Linked DNA regions of Ovis aries. The protein of the gene in region 1 interacts with the protein of each later gene in a biochemical or structural test. Links are inferred from orthologs where the notes say so. Each region holds a gene or a part of one and is shown in the gene's direction. Other genes may lie near its edges.

Region 1 (5,520 bases):
GAGGTTTCAGTTAAAATGTCTTCATACTTTCACTTTTATTTTTCTGTTTTCCTTTTCTAATTGTCATTACAGAGAAAGGGGTTTTCCAGATTACTAATTTAAATTCATCCTAGATTTTATAAAATCAATGTGATTTTTAAAAATACAAGTAAAAGTCCATAATAACAATGTTTTTTTTAAATAGTCTACTAATTTTTTTTCTCTACTGATTCATTTGTTATTAGATCTCTATCCTAAGCTATATCCTGAGCTCTCTCAGTACATGGGCCTGAGTTTAAATGAAGAAGAAATACGTGCAAATATGGCCTTGGTCCCTGGAGCACCAAGTCATGGGGTATGTATAATGTAATTCGTTCTGAATTATATAAAATCATACCTTACACAGAGATACAAGCTAACTCGTCTTTGTGGCAAACTCACAAATTTATAGCCTTAGCATTGATCTCTTCTCAGGATTGCCTTCTAGGTATTGCTTTTTACACAGTCTACTTCCTTCTGTGCTGTTACCACTTTTCTGATTTATTAGGAGTTAAAGATACAGGTGCCTTTAACTGGTACATTCTCCTTTGTCTTCTGCATTTAGTTACAGACCTAGTGACTCTGCTTCTGGTGTGTTTCTTGTATTCATGTTATGCATTGTAGGCTTGCTGTAGCCCTGTCCATGATTTATACCTCTCACCTAGATGTTACACTTGGCTCTTCTTCCAGTAACTCCTCTAGTAACTTGTTATATCAATGAATGCTGAGCTACTGCTAACTTTATCATTCTGAAATTCAGGTCTGTTACCTTTTTTTTGCTCATAATCTTTTTAAGTTTAAAGCTTCTTACAGTTTGACCCCAAATTCTTGGCTTAAATATAGTGTGTCTCAGTCTTTTGTTAAGATTGTTGCTATAAGACTGTAATACCTTACAGTACTTGTCATAGGTAAATGCATAACTTCATGAAGACAGCCTTTATGTCTCTGTTGCTGCCATAACTCCCATGCTTAGTACAGTACCTGGCTTTCAATTTATTCACCAAATATTTATTGAAAACTTGCTTACATCAGTCAGGGTCCAGGTGGAACAACAGAAATCACACAAGAATTTTAACAGAGATAACAAGAAATCAGAGAGGTTGAAGAATTGAAAAAAGCAAAAGCGGAACCCAGAAAGCTGCTTCTCCTAGAACTGGGGCATACGGGATGGGGGTTACAGTTCGCAGAGCCAACAGTGTTGGTGGAGGAGCCCCGTGAGCTGGGCCTCAGGGGAGGGCCCCCTGTGATGGATGCTGGTACCTCTGGGGGCTGCAGGGAGGCTGTGCTGCCAGTGTCTGGAATCTGGAGACTGGAGTCACCTGCTGCCAGCAGCATGAAGGGCTGGCCCCAGGCAGTACTGGCAGGAGCAGGAAGCAGACAGGAAGGGGCAGGCCCTGGCACGTCCTCCTCGCGAGGGGTCCTGACCAGAAAGCCATGGCAGAAGAGGGCTCACCACAGAGGGTGGGCTTGGAAGGCACGGACAGTCTGTGACGCTTGCTGGCCTCTCTTCTCTTCAGTGTGCCCACAGGCTTCTTTCTTCATATTTCTTCACATTTGTTGACGCGCAACAAATATTTTCTGGTAAGGGAACCATAGTAAGTACGTTCAGCTTTACTAGCCAGTATATACAGAGACCTTGAGAGGCTTCCGGGCAGAAATGAGCTTGAGAGGCCTGAGAGACAGGACCTCGGTGAGGGCAGATGAGACAGAATGTGGCTGCAGATGCACTGGGGGGTGACATTGGAAGGGCTGTCAGGCCAGGTAGTCTGTGGCCTTGTGGACAGGGTAAGGGGTTGGGGGTCTGAGTTGTGGGATTAACAAAAGGGTTTCAGTGCTTGCTGTGTGGAGGGCAAATAGAAGGGCAAGAGTAGATGGTGGTCATAGTAGCCTTAGCAGGAGGGAGCAGTGGTCATGTGTTGGTCATATGGATCATGGTAAGAACACCGAGTAAGCACTTAACTGTACTTGCTGGAAAGAAATTCTTTTCCAAAAGTTATACTCCAAAGCTCCTCCCTTTTGTCCTATGTTTCAGCTAAACTAAATTCATTTGCTTAATTTTTTCTATCCCATTGCCTGATTTTTATGCTTTTATAGCTGTAATCATTGAATTTTTGTAATTCTTCAAAAGTTGTATTTTCTGGTATTGTGCTTGATTAGTGGTATGGCTCTTTGTGTGTGTGTGATGTCCTGGTGACTGTGATTCTGAACGGAGACATTGGCAGCCTGTGTGTGTGCGGCTGAGGTTTCTCTCCCCCATCATGGCTGTTCTGAGCATCACGGTGTCAGACCAGAGCTTTTCATGACAGGTTCCGGTTAAGACGCTTTGGTAACAAATATGCTCTTCCCTCATTTTCTTTGGTAGAGGAAAGGGTCCACTTAAAACACTAAACTCATTTTGGTCAAGAAAAAAAAATTAGGAATGTGAGGCCTGGTACCTAACGGAGTCCCTAGTACAGCTATTCTCCATACAGTTGGTTAATCCACAGATGTTTACCAAAGGGATGAAAAATAACATTTGTCTTGTGTGTGTCAGCACTTGACTAGTAGGTGCTTTTAGTCCTTGTAGTGGAGCTGTGAGGTAAGAAGTTTGCCTCTGTAATAAAAACTCTGAAAGGGTAAGTACATTGTTGAAGGCCATATAAAAGAACCCTCAGGAAGATGCTGTGTGAGTTTAAAAGTAAAGTACAGCCTTTATAAAGTTCAAGGATAATATATTTGAGTTGAAAACAAGCCAGGGTACACATAAAACAAATGCCAGTGAATTCATCGGGCAACAGAGTCATTGAGTCTGCTGGAGATGGTGTCTGGGGGGGTAAATTACCTGCAGAATTAGTTTTAAAAAACAAAATAGGGTCATTTTTGCAAAACTCATATCTGAAGGAAATAATCGGCAGATTACATTTTAGGAAACCACAACAGAATATGTTCAATTTTGGATTTTCTCAGGGCGCGTGTTTGCGAATACTGACGTGTTGCATGTGTCTTTGGCAGCAGTTGGTGGCACGGCCTTCCAGCATGGACCACATGGTGGCCCCTGTCACTGGTGGCGACACTGGGATCCGCAGAGCAGAGATCAAGCAAGGGATCCGAGAAGTCATCTTGTGTAAGGATCAAGACGGGAAGATTGGGCTCCGGCTGAAATCCATAGACAATGTAAGTGCTTTCAGTACACTTGTCTGATTAGCTGTTATGTGACCCAGTTACAATTTAAAATGTAAATGCTTTAATGAAGTGTAATGGTGCTCTCTGATCAAGACTACTTTTAATCTGCTTTTCCACGTGAGATGCTACCCTGTTCTGAAGAGGCAGAGCTGGGACTTGAGCATTACCATGGATGAATTTTTTCTGAGTCCTTTTTCTGGAATAAAGTTCACTAGTCTGCGTGTATTATAACATAGTTCATACAAGGAGAATGCTGGCATTGAAATAGGGTAACGTGTGGAAGTTAAGACTGATAGGTGAGGGTCAGTGGTCTTGTGTATTTTTAAACTTAAAGACGATCATGTGACTTGTAATGTGGTTTGGGGTTTGTTATTTCCATCCTTGAATTTGACTTTCATGGGGCATTTTCCAGGCAACAGTGACTTTCTAAAGTACATTACTTCACCTCTCACCTTACCAGATGGAAGAAATGAAACCTGGTTACTCTGTGGGGAAGCACTTAGGATCACTAAGGAGGTGCTGAGTCTTTACCCTGATTTGTGGGTTTCCAGGTTATTTATTGGGCTTCTTTTCAGTCTTCGGTCTCATAGCTCAGCGCATCCAGCCTTTGCATGTAGAAGATGTGGCGCCTGGCGGAAGATGTTTGAGGCCAGTCCGGGCCCTACCTGCCTCCCCAGAGGCTGAGGGCATTGTGTCTTTGCACACTTGTGGCTTGTGTGAGACCCTCATTGAGTGTGCTGCTCTGGGAAGCTCGCACTTCCCTGCCCTCTCTACATCCTAGAGAGAGACCACACTCTCCGCAGCTCCACCCCTGCAGCAGTTATCCTTGCAGTGGTTTGTCCAGTGGCCGAAGCTTGTAGGTGTAGCCACTCTGCTGGGTGCCGTCCTCAAGTACAGGATACGCAGCACCAAATCTGAGTACAGGCTACGCAGCACCAAATCTGGGGCAGCTCAGGACGGAGAAGGGGTGCGACCTGTGGTTGCTTTCATCTCTTACTGGCACATGCCTTTTACACTTGGCTTGTTGATAGTGTTCAGCATCTGAAATTTAGTTTACATGAGTAAAAATAGCCTGTGGGTTTAGTTCTCAGATACCTGTACTTGAGTTCTCTGTATTTACCTCGAAGATTTTTAAGAACGGGGGTTGTATTCCGTGTACCCACCTTTTTAGGCTGTTTAATAGTAGTGATTATGCGTAATTTAGCAAGCGAGTAAAGGAATTCTTCAGCTCAAAAGGTAAACTTCTGACCTAAACCTATCACTTTTCTTAAACTTCCAACACTTTACTGTCTTCCCTCCTAAATAATGACCAGGTGCAGTAATACCTGTTTGGTATTTTATCAGACTCATGGAACCTTACATTTCTTATAGTAATCTGACTTTATTTTCCTTAGTTTTTTTATTCCAAGGTGGAGGGGGTGATGGAATTTGGTCAGGTGAGTCATGATGTGAGCTAGAAATTACCACTCAGATCTTCCTGTTGCCTTGATAGCATTTTCAGTTTCCTTCTTGGGAGTAATGAAACACACTTGTGTAGTTTTCTCTTTTTTAAAAAAAAATTACTAGAGTAGCTGCCTAAACAGTTGGTTCCTGATTTTCCAGCACTTACTTAGTGATTTCCATCCTCCAGGGTATATTTGTTCAGCTTGTCCAGGCCAATTCTCCGTCCTCCCTGGTGGGCCTGCGGTTTGGGGACCAGGTACTTCAGATAAACGGCGAGAACTGTGCTGGCTGGAGCTCGGACCGGGCGCACAAGGTGCTCAAACAGGCTTTTGGAGAGAAGATCACCATGACCATTCGGGACAGGTGAGCCAACTAAACGCCACATGTGGACATTAAGGACTAGTTTTCCATTTTCTTAGGGTTTTAAGGTTCTGGAAATACAGCATTTTGTTGCGGAAAATAATCAAATATTATTGATTAGTTTTATATTTATACTCTTGTAGTTCTGTGTTGCTTTCACTTTCTTACATAGTTTGACTTTTTAAAAACAGTATTCTGGTTTTGCATACACCTTATTTCAGAGCTTACAGAAATTTGTCCTTTGAGAAGTTCCTTTCCTGTCTTAATCAGTTTCTCTGAAAAATGAAAGGTAACAGCAACAAGTGTCTGGACTTTGCCCCTGGTTTCCTGCTCAGAGTGGATACATGGGGGCCTACCAGTTCCCAAAACCCAGCCTGGCCTTCTGGGTGGCTGAGGCTCGAGTCCTTGGTGGGAGCATCATCTTTAGCTTGTTTATAATGGAACTTGCGGTACCTGTGCTACGGACACCACCACCTTCTCGGCCACGCAGGGGTTGAGGGGCAGACCTTGTAACACATTTTTAGCTTTGGCATTTTT
Region 2 (6,071 bases), on another chromosome or scaffold:
GGAGCTCACAGAGAGAAAAAAGGATTTCCAACCCCCCACCACACACACATTTTAAATGACAAAGCAAAGAAGCTGCATTGTCTTTAAACAGCATCTTTCAATGCAATCAATATCAAGGCTCCCCAATGTTAAGTGATAAGAATAATAATTTAGAAAGAAAAAGAGGAGCCCTTGAAAAATACAAAGAGAGAAGAAAACATGTTTAAAGAAAATATTATTAATCTTTCATATTACCTTGAGGCAGACTGCCCAAAAGAAAAAAAAAAAAAAAAAGCCCTGGGTGTGAAGGGAAAACTGATCCTTTGGAAGAAAAAAGACGAGGATTCCTGTTGAGGACCAGATGGAGAATGTGAGCAGTCTGACACCCTACCTTGGCCTAAATGATTCAACCTTCCAGGCCCATTAACAAGAGTGGAGGACAAAGAACTGTGAAGTGGAAGAACAGATTCCCCATAAAGCAGTAATAGAAAAAAAGAAAAACAGAGGAGGCCAAAGTCTCCTATGGAAGGGAACCCAATTAATTGTCTTCGGTTTCAGGATCTGTCTTTTCTTGCTGGAGAAGAGGCTCACTCCGGGCAGCAGAGACAGCAACTTCTAACTTCTGCAAACTTGCATCCTGATCAGAATCCCTCAGGGCTCTAGCGCCTGGAACTGAGCTGGCAGGAGGAAGGGCTAGGCCAGGAGTAACGTTTTTTAAGGCAGAGGACTGGGGGGAGGGCGGAGAGGGAGTGTCACAGAGAAGATTTTTCCTTGCTTAGCATGTCACTTTGCTGCATGGGAATTCATGCTATTCCTCGCGGTCCGGTGAGAAGGTAGGAACATCCCCCACCTCCACCCGCTGTAACTTCTGATTTCGCTGTGAGTAACCAGAGAGCGCGCGCCAGGGCCCAGTGCCTTCAGCGGGGCGAAGATTTGATCGAGAACAAAAGAACGCTTGCCAATCAGAAAACGCTACCCGAGAACAAGGATAACTTCTCTTTGTGTTTTGGAAACTCTTTAATTAGCAAATGCCTTTGGTTTCTAATATGCATTAAAACTTTTCTACGCAGATTCCAAGAATCAAATCATTGCTTCCGCGACGAAGGTGGGACTCCCAAGGGCCACACGCCACGGAACTAAAGAAAATAGGCAATTAAATACTCGCTGTAAACCTGTACAGTGTTCTGGGCACTCGGCCGCAGGTTTTTTTTACAATAATTTCCCGCACTAGTTTTCTTACGATTTCACTAAAGCTATACCAAATCCCTAGACTCTGGGCCGTGCGTGCGGGCAGGGTGGCCTGAAGCCTGAGTCCCCCGCGCCCGCCGCTCGTCGGCCCTGTCCCCTTGGAGGGGTCGACACTTCCTCCTGCCTTAAGCCGGCCCCCTCTGCCCGACTCCTATTTCTCTTCAGCCTGGGCCCCTCCTCCTTTTTACAACCCGGAGAGGGGGTGAGCGGGGATTGTGGCCTCACGTGGTCTAAGTCTGCCGAGAGAAAAGCAATCCGCGAGGCGCACCCATTTCTTGCCCCATTCCGAACCCCGCATTTAGGATCCTGTCACCTAAAAGCCCCCCTCCAAATCCAGCATTTTCAGCCCAAGGAGTGCTAAACACAACTCCGGGTCGCGTTTCTCTCCGGGGAGGTGCTATTCTTATTCTCAACCTCTCCATGCAAAAGCCTTGCCCGGTGCGCCCTTCTGTTCAGGAATCTGTATTTTAGTGTACCCGGAACACTAAGGAACAAATATTTCAAGCAAATTCCCTTTCTGGTGCGCTTCTCTACCCCCTCCCCCCAGTGAATTCAGGGTAAAAGTTTTTCTTAACTTTTCCCTCCCAGCCCCCTGCCCCTCCCCTCAGGAATCCGCCCAGAGCTCCGCAGACCTAGCCTCTCTCGTTCCCTTGCCCGCCCCTTCCGACTTCCACCCAATCCGAAGACAGTCACACAGAAAACAAAGGCTGCTATTGGGCCTCCCTGGAGCTCGAGGGCCCGCCCCCGGAGTGGTTTGTGAATGGGGGGAGGGGAGGGGGCGGGGCGGTCCGGAACCCTGAGAGCCCGACGCTTCTTCTGTAGAGTTGCGCGGCTCCGAGGCGTTACTCTGCGCTCCCTCCCGGCGGGCAGCGCTCCCTCACCGCTCAGAGTTGCGCGGGGCTGGAGAGGCCAGGCCCAGGCCGCGGGCACCAGGACCTCGCAGCCTCGGACGCAGTGTGACTGGATTTCTTAAAAGAACTCGCCGAGCTCTTGGCTCCAAGACGCCGATCGGACTCAGAGCGAGAATTAGCCGTTTGGCTGAAAGTTGGAGCCAAGCTTCTGGGGCTGAAGAAGGAGCAAGGAGCGGAGAAGGAGGCGAAGGAGGAGGCGGCGGCGAGCGGAGCCTCGAGGAGAGGAGGCGGAGCAGCACCGTTGAGGCGGCGGCTTTGGCTAGCAAGCGGGGGCGCCGGGGTCTCGCCTGCCGGGGCCAGACTTAGTGTGGGGGTGCGGCGCGCGCCCTATTGAGCTCAGTGAGTCGGGAGACTTGGGCAAACTTTGAAGGGTAACCGGAGACGCTTGTTGCTCCTCGCCGCAGAAAAAGCCGCACCGTTACGTCGCATCAAGAGGAGAAGGCGGCCCCCCATCTGCGCCCCCAGCCCAGCGAGACGAGTTTGGACCCCCGGCGGCTGCGCCAGTGCTGGGCGGAGGCGGCGGCGCCCCCGTGGCGGGAGCACCCCAGCTGCAGCGCCCTCTGTTCCGCGCCGCCCACGGCCCAGCCCCGGCGCCGGGAGGACTCTCATGCGCCCGGCGCAGCGGCGCCTCCCCCGATCCCAGCCTCTCCCGGCTGCCTGGTCGCGTTTCTCGGGCTGAGAGTGCCGCTGCACCCGCGGCCGGCGATGCGGGGCTCCTGCGCGGCGGTGTCGCGCTTGCCTCTGGACCTTTGCACCCTGGCGCTGGCGCTGCTGGGCGCACTGCCCGCGGGCGCCGGGGCGCAGCCGTACCACGGAGAGAAGGGCATCTCAGTGCCAGACCACGGCTTCTGCCAGCCCATCTCCATCCCTCTGTGCACGGACATCGCCTACAACCAGACCATCTTGCCCAACCTGCTGGGTCACACGAACCAAGAGGAGGCGGGCCTCGAGGTGCACCAGTTCTACCCGCTGGTGAAGGTGCAGTGTTCTCCCGAGCTGCGGTTCTTCCTCTGCTCCATGTACGCACCCGTGTGTACGGTGCTCGACAAGGCCATCCCTCCGTGCCGCTCTCTCTGCGAGCGTGCCCGCCAGGGCTGTGAAGCACTCATGAACAAGTTCGGCTTCCAATGGCCTGAACGGCTGCGTTGCGAGAACTTCCCCGTGCACGGCGCTGGCGAGATCTGCGTGGGCCAAAACACGTCGGACGGCTCCGGGGGCGCGGGCGGCGGCCCCACCGCCTACCCTACCGCACCCTACCTGCCCGACCTGCCCTTCACCGCGCTGCCTCCGGGGGCCGCCGACGGCCGGGGCCGCTCCGCTTTCCCCTTCTCGTGCCCCCGCCAGCTCAAGGTGCCCCCCTACCTGGGCTACCGCTTCCTTGGCGAGCGCGACTGCGGCGCCCCTTGCGAGCCGGGCCGCGCTAATGGCCTTATGTACTTTAAGGAGGAGGAGAGGCGCTTCGCCCGCCTCTGGGTGGGCGTGTGGTCTGTGCTGTGCTGCGCCTCGACTCTCTTCACCGTGCTCACCTACCTAGTGGACATGCGGCGGTTCAGCTACCCGGAGCGGCCCATCATCTTCCTGTCAGGCTGCTACTTCATGGTGGCCGTGGCGCACGTGGCCGGCTTCCTGCTGGAGGACCGCGCGGTGTGCGTGGAGCGCTTCTCCGACGACGGCTACCGCACGGTGGCGCAGGGCACCAAGAAGGAGGGCTGCACCATCCTCTTCATGGTGCTCTACTTCTTCGGCATGGCCAGTTCCATCTGGTGGGTCATCTTGTCGCTCACTTGGTTCCTGGCGGCCGGCATGAAGTGGGGCCACGAGGCCATCGAGGCCAACTCGCAGTACTTCCACCTGGCCGCCTGGGCGGTGCCCGCTGTCAAGACCATCACCATCCTGGCTATGGGCCAGGTGGACGGGGACCTGCTCAGCGGGGTGTGCTACGTGGGCCTGTCCAGCGTGGACGCGCTGCGGGGCTTCGTGCTGGCGCCCCTGTTCGTCTACCTCTTCATCGGCACGTCCTTCCTGCTGGCGGGCTTCGTGTCTCTCTTCCGCATCCGCACCATCATGAAGCACGACGGCACCAAGACTGAGAAGCTGGAGAAGCTGATGGTGCGCATCGGCGTCTTCAGCGTGCTCTACACGGTGCCGGCCACCATCGTTCTGGCCTGCTACTTCTATGAGCAGGCCTTCCGCGAACACTGGGAACGCACCTGGCTCCTGCAGACTTGCAAGAGCTACGCGGTGCCCTGCCCGCCAGGCCACTTCCCGCCCATGAGCCCCGACTTTACCGTCTTCATGATCAAGTACCTGATGACCATGATCGTCGGCATCACCACTGGCTTCTGGATCTGGTCGGGCAAGACCCTGCAGTCGTGGCGCCGCTTCTACCACAGACTCAGCCACAGCAGCAAGGGGGAGACTGCGGTATGAACCCCGGCCCCTCCCCCACCCTTCCTTCCCGCCGCCGGGGGTGGGAAAGGGGCGGTAGGGAAAGAACTGCGGGGTGGGGGGACTTGTTTCTGGAACCTCCTTCCGCTCCAGTGAGAAGTCACCTGGAAATGAGAAGATATATGTAGATATATGTGGGTTGGGAAAAGAGGCCTGGGTGGAAATACGGTTTGGATGAAAAGACTTCTGGCAAAGACTTGCAGGATGATGCTGGTGATGGTAACAGTGATGTTAATCATGTGCGGTACGGGCCGCCTTGGGCCTGTCGGAAAAGATTGAGATCAGAAGGTTGCTGTGAGTTCTTCCCGGCTCTGGGCCGAACTGGGACTGTGAGCGATTTCCCTGCTGCAAGACAAGTGGCCTGTCCTCACTCCTGTGAGGCCCGGGTGAAAGGTACAGCTGTCTGAGGCCGCTGCTTTGTTAGGAAAAGGGAGGACACCCTGCAGTGTCCTTGTCAAGCGGTGGTCAAACCATAATCTCTTTTCACTGGGGCCAAACTGGAGTCCAGATGGGTTAATTTCCAGGGTCAGACATTACAGTCTCCACCTCTGCCTCCTCCCCGCCTGTTTTTCTTCCTCTACTCCTTTCAAGTCTTGTAAAATAACCATTTTGAAGTCTTGGGAGGCCAGCCTCCTAGAATCCTGATGTGAGGATGCAAAAGAAATGACAACATTTTGCAACAAGGAAAAGGAGGCAAGTAGTAGGTATTTCTACTACTTTTTTATTTTCTGGGGAAGCAGAAGGAAGAAAGAAGCCTGTTTTATTTGGTTTAATATCCTGAAAAGAAGTGATGACTTGTTGCTTTTCAAAATAGGAATGCATTTTTTTCCCTTGTCTTTGTTGTAAGAGACAAAAGAGGAAACAAGTGTCTCCCTGTGGAAAGGCACAACTGTGAAGACAGCAACTTTTATAGGCAAAGCAGCGCAAATCTGAGGTTTCCCTTTGGATGTTAATTTGGTTGTAATAAACATTCCTTTTTAAGGAAAAGTGAAGGGCGGTGTGCTTCCATACCCCTTTCTGTCAGAGGTACTGACTTGGCTAAAGGAAATGCAAGGGGTTTTGCTGTGTATAAGTAAATTTAATTCAGAACACATGATCCAACAGGCTCTGTTAAAACATTCAGGGAAATCTCTCCCTTCATTTTCTTTTTCTTCCCTTAAACCTGCATTTAGGTTTTGTTTCAATTTTTTTTTCCCTCCAATTTGAATCCTTCAAGATAAAAGGAGAAGCATAATGCCTTTAGCCTCATAATAAAGGAATGTTAAATTTTTTAAAAAGTCAAAGGAGCATTTTGTCCTGTTTTCTTTGTTCCATAAATCCGTTTATAAAATATCATGTGTATGCTGACCCTGTCTTTGTGTGGCTGGGTGGGGAGGTGACCTGCAGAAATGACAGTGAGTGAAGAGGACAGTTCAAACCATGGGCCCCATTTTTAAGGAAAGTCATTAAAAGAAGGTAAACTTCAAAGTAAGTCTGGAGTTCTTT
Region 3 (6,192 bases), about 43 Mb from region 1:
TCTTTTGGGAATAGAGATGACGTTTCTCTTATATTGTTCATTGTCCTTTGGAAACTCGTTGTAGAAGCTCTCCATCTCAAGAAATTCTTCAACCCATGGATGAATTCTATGGAACCCACAGGTTCTGAAACCCGGAGACTGGGGTTTGAGTCTCCCTACTTGGAAGCTGCTGACTCTGCATGTTTAGCCAGACCCTTTTCTGTGGGGGGTGGTGGGAGTGGGGGCAGGAGGGGATGGGATACGGGGTATTGGTGAGGGGAGCTAAGAATACTTTCATCCAGGTTACAGGATGACAGTGGCCCTTGGACTGGCAGCCTGGCAGAAGTAGGAATGGCCACATTCAGCTGTGTTCAAACCACAGAGAATCCACCTTAAAACACCGTCACAGTTCATTCTCCCCAAAACCAAGCAAGACCCAGTCCCACATCGATCCGCCAGGTACCAGCTCAGTTTCTGTGGAAGTTACAGCTCCCAGTCTCCTGATATTTTTCTGTTCTGTCCACTCTTCCATTTTTCCAAACTACCTCTTGGATGCCAACCCCTTAGATTTGCCTGTTGGGAGCCTGGTAGTTGGGACTTTTAAACCAAAGAAGTGGACCTCTCAGACTCAGTGCTTTTAACGTTTCCTCCGGCTCTCTAAATTTCTTTCTCTGAGACTTCTTCCATGAAATGTTACTAAGACATTGTAATTCTCACTTAGAGCATGAGTCTAATTTATTCCAAGTTCAAAAATTTTCACTGTCTAGTATCTGTGCGTGCTCAGGTGTGTCTGACTCTTTGTGACCCTTTGGGCTGTAGCCCCCCAGGCTCCTGGGTCCATGGGATGTTTCAGGCAAGAAAACTGGAGTGGGTTTCCATTTCCTCTTCCAAGGGATCCTCCCCACCCAGGGATGGAACATGCATTTCTTGTGTCTCCTGCAGTGCAGGCAGGCAGATACTTTTGCAGTTTTAGATCAAAGTTTATCCAAGAAATATCTATTGTGTATTTTATGAAGCAGGAATGAGAATACAGTGGTGAACAAGATAGAAAGTTCCCTGGTTTCCTAGAGCAGCCATTCTAGGAGCAGAATGGTTCCATAATTCATTCACTTCAGAAGTCAGAGGGAAAAATAATGCTAGAAATAGGAAAGAACTATGCAGTTTGCCATGTTGTATAGTGTCCTATAGACCCGGAATTGAAAAAAAGACTTCACAACAAAATGTTTCAGATCGATTACTTCCATCCAGGAAATAATACTATTTTTTGCAAACTAGAAATTACTTTATCCCTCTTTTCTTTAAAGTTCTCTTAAATCGGTGATTATTCAAGGTCTCCATCCAATTCTCATCAAATTGCCCTATTTGTAGCTTCCTATTTCTGTGCTGAAATGGAGCCTATAAAATACCTCAGGGGCTTAAACTGTGTGAGGCAAAATGGTACTTAAGTCTTTAGTTGAAATTACAAGCTTTGAAAGTGTTGCATTTTTAATTTATGGGAGTATTCCTCCACTTCCTTTTTTTGGGGGGGGTGGTTAGGGAGAGTGGGAAATACTCAATATACGTTTACTATATTGACTGTCTTCTCTTTTAAACACAATTTTCATGAACTGGAGACTTAGAAACACTTCATACTGCTTGCATCTGTAAACTTCGTGGCTTCCCGCCCCCCACCCCGAGCAGTTTCTTACCGCTAGTCCAATTGTCGCAGGCAGAAAAGCTATTAATAAATACATATCTCGTTTTTCACCGATCTTTCTTCCAGAAAAGTGCAAGTGAAAAGGAAATAGAGAAGAAGGAGTACGGAGGAGGAGAGAGGAAAAGGAGGGAGAGACTAGGGGAGAAAGAAGCCAGAGAATGAAGGCGTAGCAGAGCGCTGGAGCATGGACTGAGGACGAGCGGACCCGGCGCAGCCGCGGCGCGGAGCCGCCTGTGGCCACTGGTCCCCGGAGCTGCCAATCCGGGCGTAATCCTGGAGGAATTTCTCCCGGGTTTCGCTGGGAGTCACACTGCCGCCTCCTCTCCTCGGGCGGCCCGGAGGAGTCCGGAGAAGCCGGCTGGGGAGGGAAGAGGGAGGGAGCGGGAGGAGGAAGGGAGTGGGGGGTGGAGGAGGAGGAGGACCCGGGGAGGGAGGCGGCGGCGCGGGAGGAGGAGGAGGCGGAGGAGGGGCGCCGCGGCTGAGCCACTAGCCCGGCTCGGACGCGCTACTCTCCAGATACTCCGGGAGCTGCAGCCGTGCGGATCGCGCGCCCCCGCCGCTCTGCCCCCAAACTTCAGCTGCAGCTACATTCCAAGCCATCTAATTTATTCCTCAAAAGAATCAGAAACGGAGCAGCGACACAGGGAAGGAGTCCGCGGAGGAGTAAAACCACAGCAGAGCAACAAGAGCCTCCGAGCCGCCTCCCCCGCCCGGAGCCACAATCCGGCCTCGGGAGTGAAGGAGCCAACAAGTGAGAAGGCGCCGCGGTCCCGGGGCGCAGCCGGAGGAAGCGGGCGCTCCGGAGCCCCGAGCCCCCCGAGTCCCGTCGAGTCCCCCGAACCGCGGTCGCTGCGGCAGCTCTGCTCCTGATCTTTCTGCGCGAGCAGCGCCGGGCGCTGGGCGAGAAGCTTCGTGTTCTCCCTCGTTGCAAGCGGGCAGCTGGGAGCCACCGGTCCCGGAGGAATATGCGGCGCGCTTGGATCCTGCTCACCTGGGTCTTGGTGGCCTGCGTGTCCGCCGAGTCGGTGAGTTGGGCCGGGCGGGGGTCGCGCGCCGTTTAAGGTGCGGAGGCCGAGCCGAGTCCGCAGACCCCGCGGAGAATCGGGGAGCGCCCCCTGGGGGATGCCCCCCCACCCAGTCCCCCGCTGCCAGACGTATAGCTGGGGATCCCCCGGGGATCTAAGGGATAAATGCGCTCCACGCCTTCTCCCCTTTCCCTTTCCGCAGAAAAGCGCCTCTCGCTGAAGTTACCCCGAGGTACCCCGGGATGAGAGCGAAGGTATTGCCGTTTTGTCGAACCGCGGAGGCCGCTGAAGACGTTCCCAACTTATTCACCCTCCCGAGGGTCTTGCTGCGTCGCCGAGAAGGACCGATGGGGAAGGGGGACGGGAGAGAGGAAGCGTGCATAGGGCTTCGAGGGAACTGGTCCCCCCCGCGCGCTCCCCGAGACTCGGGGACGGCCTGGAAACTTTGGGGGTCCTTTCCTCCATGCACCCTCCCCCCGCGCCACCCCCCCCCCCCGTCCCCCGCGCCAGCTTCCCTACTGGATTGAATGCAGGTTCTGGGAAGATGGGGCTAAGCTTTTTAAGAAACCCGCGAAGTGTCCGGAGAGGAAAGTTTGCAAAAAAGTTCTTTTGTTTGATGTTCCCAGTGGCTGGGGTGAGGGAGCAGACACTACGGGATAACGCGACCCGCGGAGGCGCGCAGTCCTGGGTCCTGCTGGGGGCGCGGGGGGAGTGCGTGGAAAATGCACCCGAAAATGCCGGGGTGCGGACCCTGGACTCCCATTTCTGCCGACCCGTTCTGCTTGAGGGTCCAGGGGGCTCGCGGGCCATCAGGGGCCGGAGGGCATCTCTGTATGGATCGCGTTCGAGCGCGGCAGCTGGGCGAGACGGGGGTGCGGATGGCACTGCACTCGGCCTCGGGCCGCCTGGCCGCTCGCAGCCTGAAGCTTCCAGCCTGACGCGCTCGCTCTCGCGGACCCCGGCCGGGGTGCCCCCAGGCCCGGGGGAGTCTCTTCTCTGGCTCCGGCTGCGGGCAACCCAGCCTCCCTCCCCGGCCTTGGTGGTGGGAACTGGGTTTCCCCTCCTCTGGCTCGAGGGTTGGAGCTGGTTTCCCTACGACGCCCAGTGAGCGCCCTCTACAGGGAAATGCCTCCTGGGCTTGCCCTTGTGCCTGGCGGCCCCTACCTGGTCGCCCCGAGCTTTGTCCGGCTGGGTGGAACCCCGAAACACCCGCGAGCCCGTCTGCAGCCTCAGCGCGGTCCGGGGCCTCGGGTAGGGAGGACAGCTGTTTCTACCCTCCTCTCGTTCCCCATACCTCCTCCCTTGGCTACTTATCAACGTGTCCATTTCTAATAAATCGGACCGTCCCTTCCAAGACAAATCATGTCATCTTTAGGGGTGGTTTTGTAAGGTTTTTTTCCCCCTTTCGCCTTTGGCGTGTTATTCTTCCCTTCTCTCCCGGCCCCCTCCTTTTTTTTTTTTTTTCCTTTTAAATTGATACGATTTAGGATTGGGGAACCTCTTTGGCACCGAGCAGCCGATGTGGCATTTATCATGTGTGCGGAGGGGCTCTGGGTGTGCTAGCAGGTCGCCAAACGTTACGCGGAGATTGGAGAGCGTAGACTGAACACATTTGGGTGCTCCGGCTGGCTGTAGAGCTCCGAGCATTTCTCTTTGACATACTATCGTTTTTATCCGTTGGGATTGGTAATCTCCCAGCCAGTTATGAACTTTGGCTCTTTGCACAGATTCTCTGTTTCTTTCAGAAAATCATTACTGTTCATCTTGTTGCAAAACAGGGCAAAGGGAGAACTCTATCTAAAGATTTTCTAGTGAAGCCTGCGTGAAAAGCTGTGCGGGGCTAAGGAGGTCCCTTTTTGCTGAGTCCTGTTTGGAGATTTGCTAGAAAGTGTTACTATTTGAGGATTCTACAGGAAGAATATTTCCCTGGGTTTTTTCTTAAATCCAACAGTGATTCATAAGGAAGCTTTTTGGCTGAACGATACCTGTCTTCTCCGGTGACACCCTCCCCCCTGCCCCAACTCTTTGGGGTTCTAGTATTTCTCATTTCCAGCCAGAATTGGATGCTTTCCAAATGAGGTGTTTCACCGTGGTAGATACCATTTTCAGGAATTGGAATATCATTCAAAAGGGTGATTAGAGATTTTTAAAATGTCAACTGTAGCATGAATGAAGACTGTAGCAGAGAGTCTGTGAGGGAGGCAATTTTTCTCAAAAGCAGCTGTTTTAAGGCCCAGAAAGGCCAGTAGTTCATTTAAATTACTTTTCAGTCTCTATTTGTTTCAAGTATAGCCACATAAATGGAAAACTTCATTTTTCAACATTTTAGCCATTCTAGTACATTATTTCCAGTACTTTTCATTTTAATGGGAAAACTGCAACTGTTTTCCAGGGAGTCAGAAATAGTGATCATCTGGACTCAGAGCCTCTCTTTTTTTTGGAAGGAAAAGTGTCCGCAGTGCATTCTTGAGTTTTATACCAAGTTCAAGGGGGAAAAGAAAACGAGATTCTCAGCAACTAAGGCTCAAGGCTATCTGTCTGTGGAAGGGAACCAGTGCCCCTTGGTTTCTGCATGCTGGAAACAGCAGGGAGAGCCTGGTCATGGCCGTGCAGTTATACTTCCCACTGACCATGCGAGGGGAAAGACTGACGGAGTGTGGCAGTAGTGATATGCTGCCGTTTTTCTATCAATTTTTTACATGATTGTTTATCTTTAGAAATAATACATTGCAGATTGCTATAAACACGTAATGTGAACTGGAGATATGTTTAAGAAAAGGAAGTGTTTTGAACTAGTGGAATTTTATACCCATGCTTAGATGTGTGTAAATTAAAAGAAATTGTCAAATCATCTGGACCCATGCATTACCTCTCATGTATTATGAAAGGCAGGCATTGGAAAGTTTGCATTCGAAGGAAAAATTAAATTGGAACCATATAACCTTTTGCAGTTCCTTGAAAAAATAAATTTTGGCTGCTCTAGTAATGTAGCTAATTATACTTGCTAGGGAATCTTAGAGGAACAAGGGCTCTTTCTCTGTTAGTTGGATTTTAGCAGTAGGTAGATGTCTCTTAGGAAGGAAAGATCTTATTAAGATCAGGCCTGTGGAAGAATGGGTGTCCAGAGGAATCTGAGTACACCTTCCAAGTCCTACTTCTGGGACCTGGAACATGTAATTTTGATGGTGCTTGCCATTTGAGGGACTGTGTAACATGATTACAAATGTGGCATCTTGAATAATCACTAGTTTGAAAAAGATTTCAAAAGATCATCTTTTTTTTTTTCCTGGGCAGAACTAGTCCTCAAGTCTCCAGAAGCCCCCCCAGTGACCTCACTGGCCAACTTAAGGGGCCAGGAGTCTACTCAAGTTGGCAAAGCCCAAGGTTGACCCAACCACACAGAGCCTGGCCAGCTCTGTCATTAAGGTTTATAGGGAGTCCGGTTAAGTCACTGTGCTATCGGGCTGTCTGCTGGCAAGAATCTTGGGTCAC

Evidence for each region. The genes of interacting proteins can lie anywhere in the genome.
Region 2: the proteins of SDCBP (region 1) and FZD7 interact in a biophysical measurement, tested with the Homo sapiens proteins (2 studies listed by IntAct, with this or other methods). The link is inferred for Ovis aries from reciprocal best matches to the Homo sapiens genes SDCBP and FZD7.
Region 3: the proteins of SDCBP (region 1) and SDC2 form a complex in vitro, tested with the Homo sapiens proteins (3 studies listed by BioGRID and IntAct, with this or other methods). The link is inferred for Ovis aries from reciprocal best matches to the Homo sapiens genes SDCBP and SDC2.

The regions. Positions count from the first base shown.
Region 1 is NC_056062.1:37,742,539-37,748,058, forward strand, and holds part of SDCBP (syntenin-1), read left to right. Parts: intron 1-224; coding exon 225-334; intron 335-3,009; coding exon 3,010-3,171; intron 3,172-4,810; coding exon 4,811-4,986; intron 4,987-5,520. UniProt on the Homo sapiens protein: Multifunctional adapter protein involved in diverse array of functions including trafficking of transmembrane proteins, neuro and immunomodulation, exosome biogenesis, and tumorigenesis.
Region 2 is NC_056055.1:204,348,437-204,354,507, forward strand, and holds the start of FZD7 (frizzled-7), read left to right. Parts: upstream 1-2,068; 5' UTR 2,069-2,843; coding exon 2,844-4,568; 3' UTR 4,569-6,071. UniProt on the Homo sapiens protein: Receptor for Wnt proteins.
Region 3 is NC_056062.1:80,612,753-80,618,944, reverse strand, and holds the start of SDC2 (syndecan-2), read left to right. Parts: upstream 1-2,189; 5' UTR 2,190-2,640; coding exon 2,641-2,700; intron 2,701-3,823; exon of another isoform or gene 3,824-6,192. UniProt on the Homo sapiens protein: Cell surface proteoglycan which regulates dendritic arbor morphogenesis.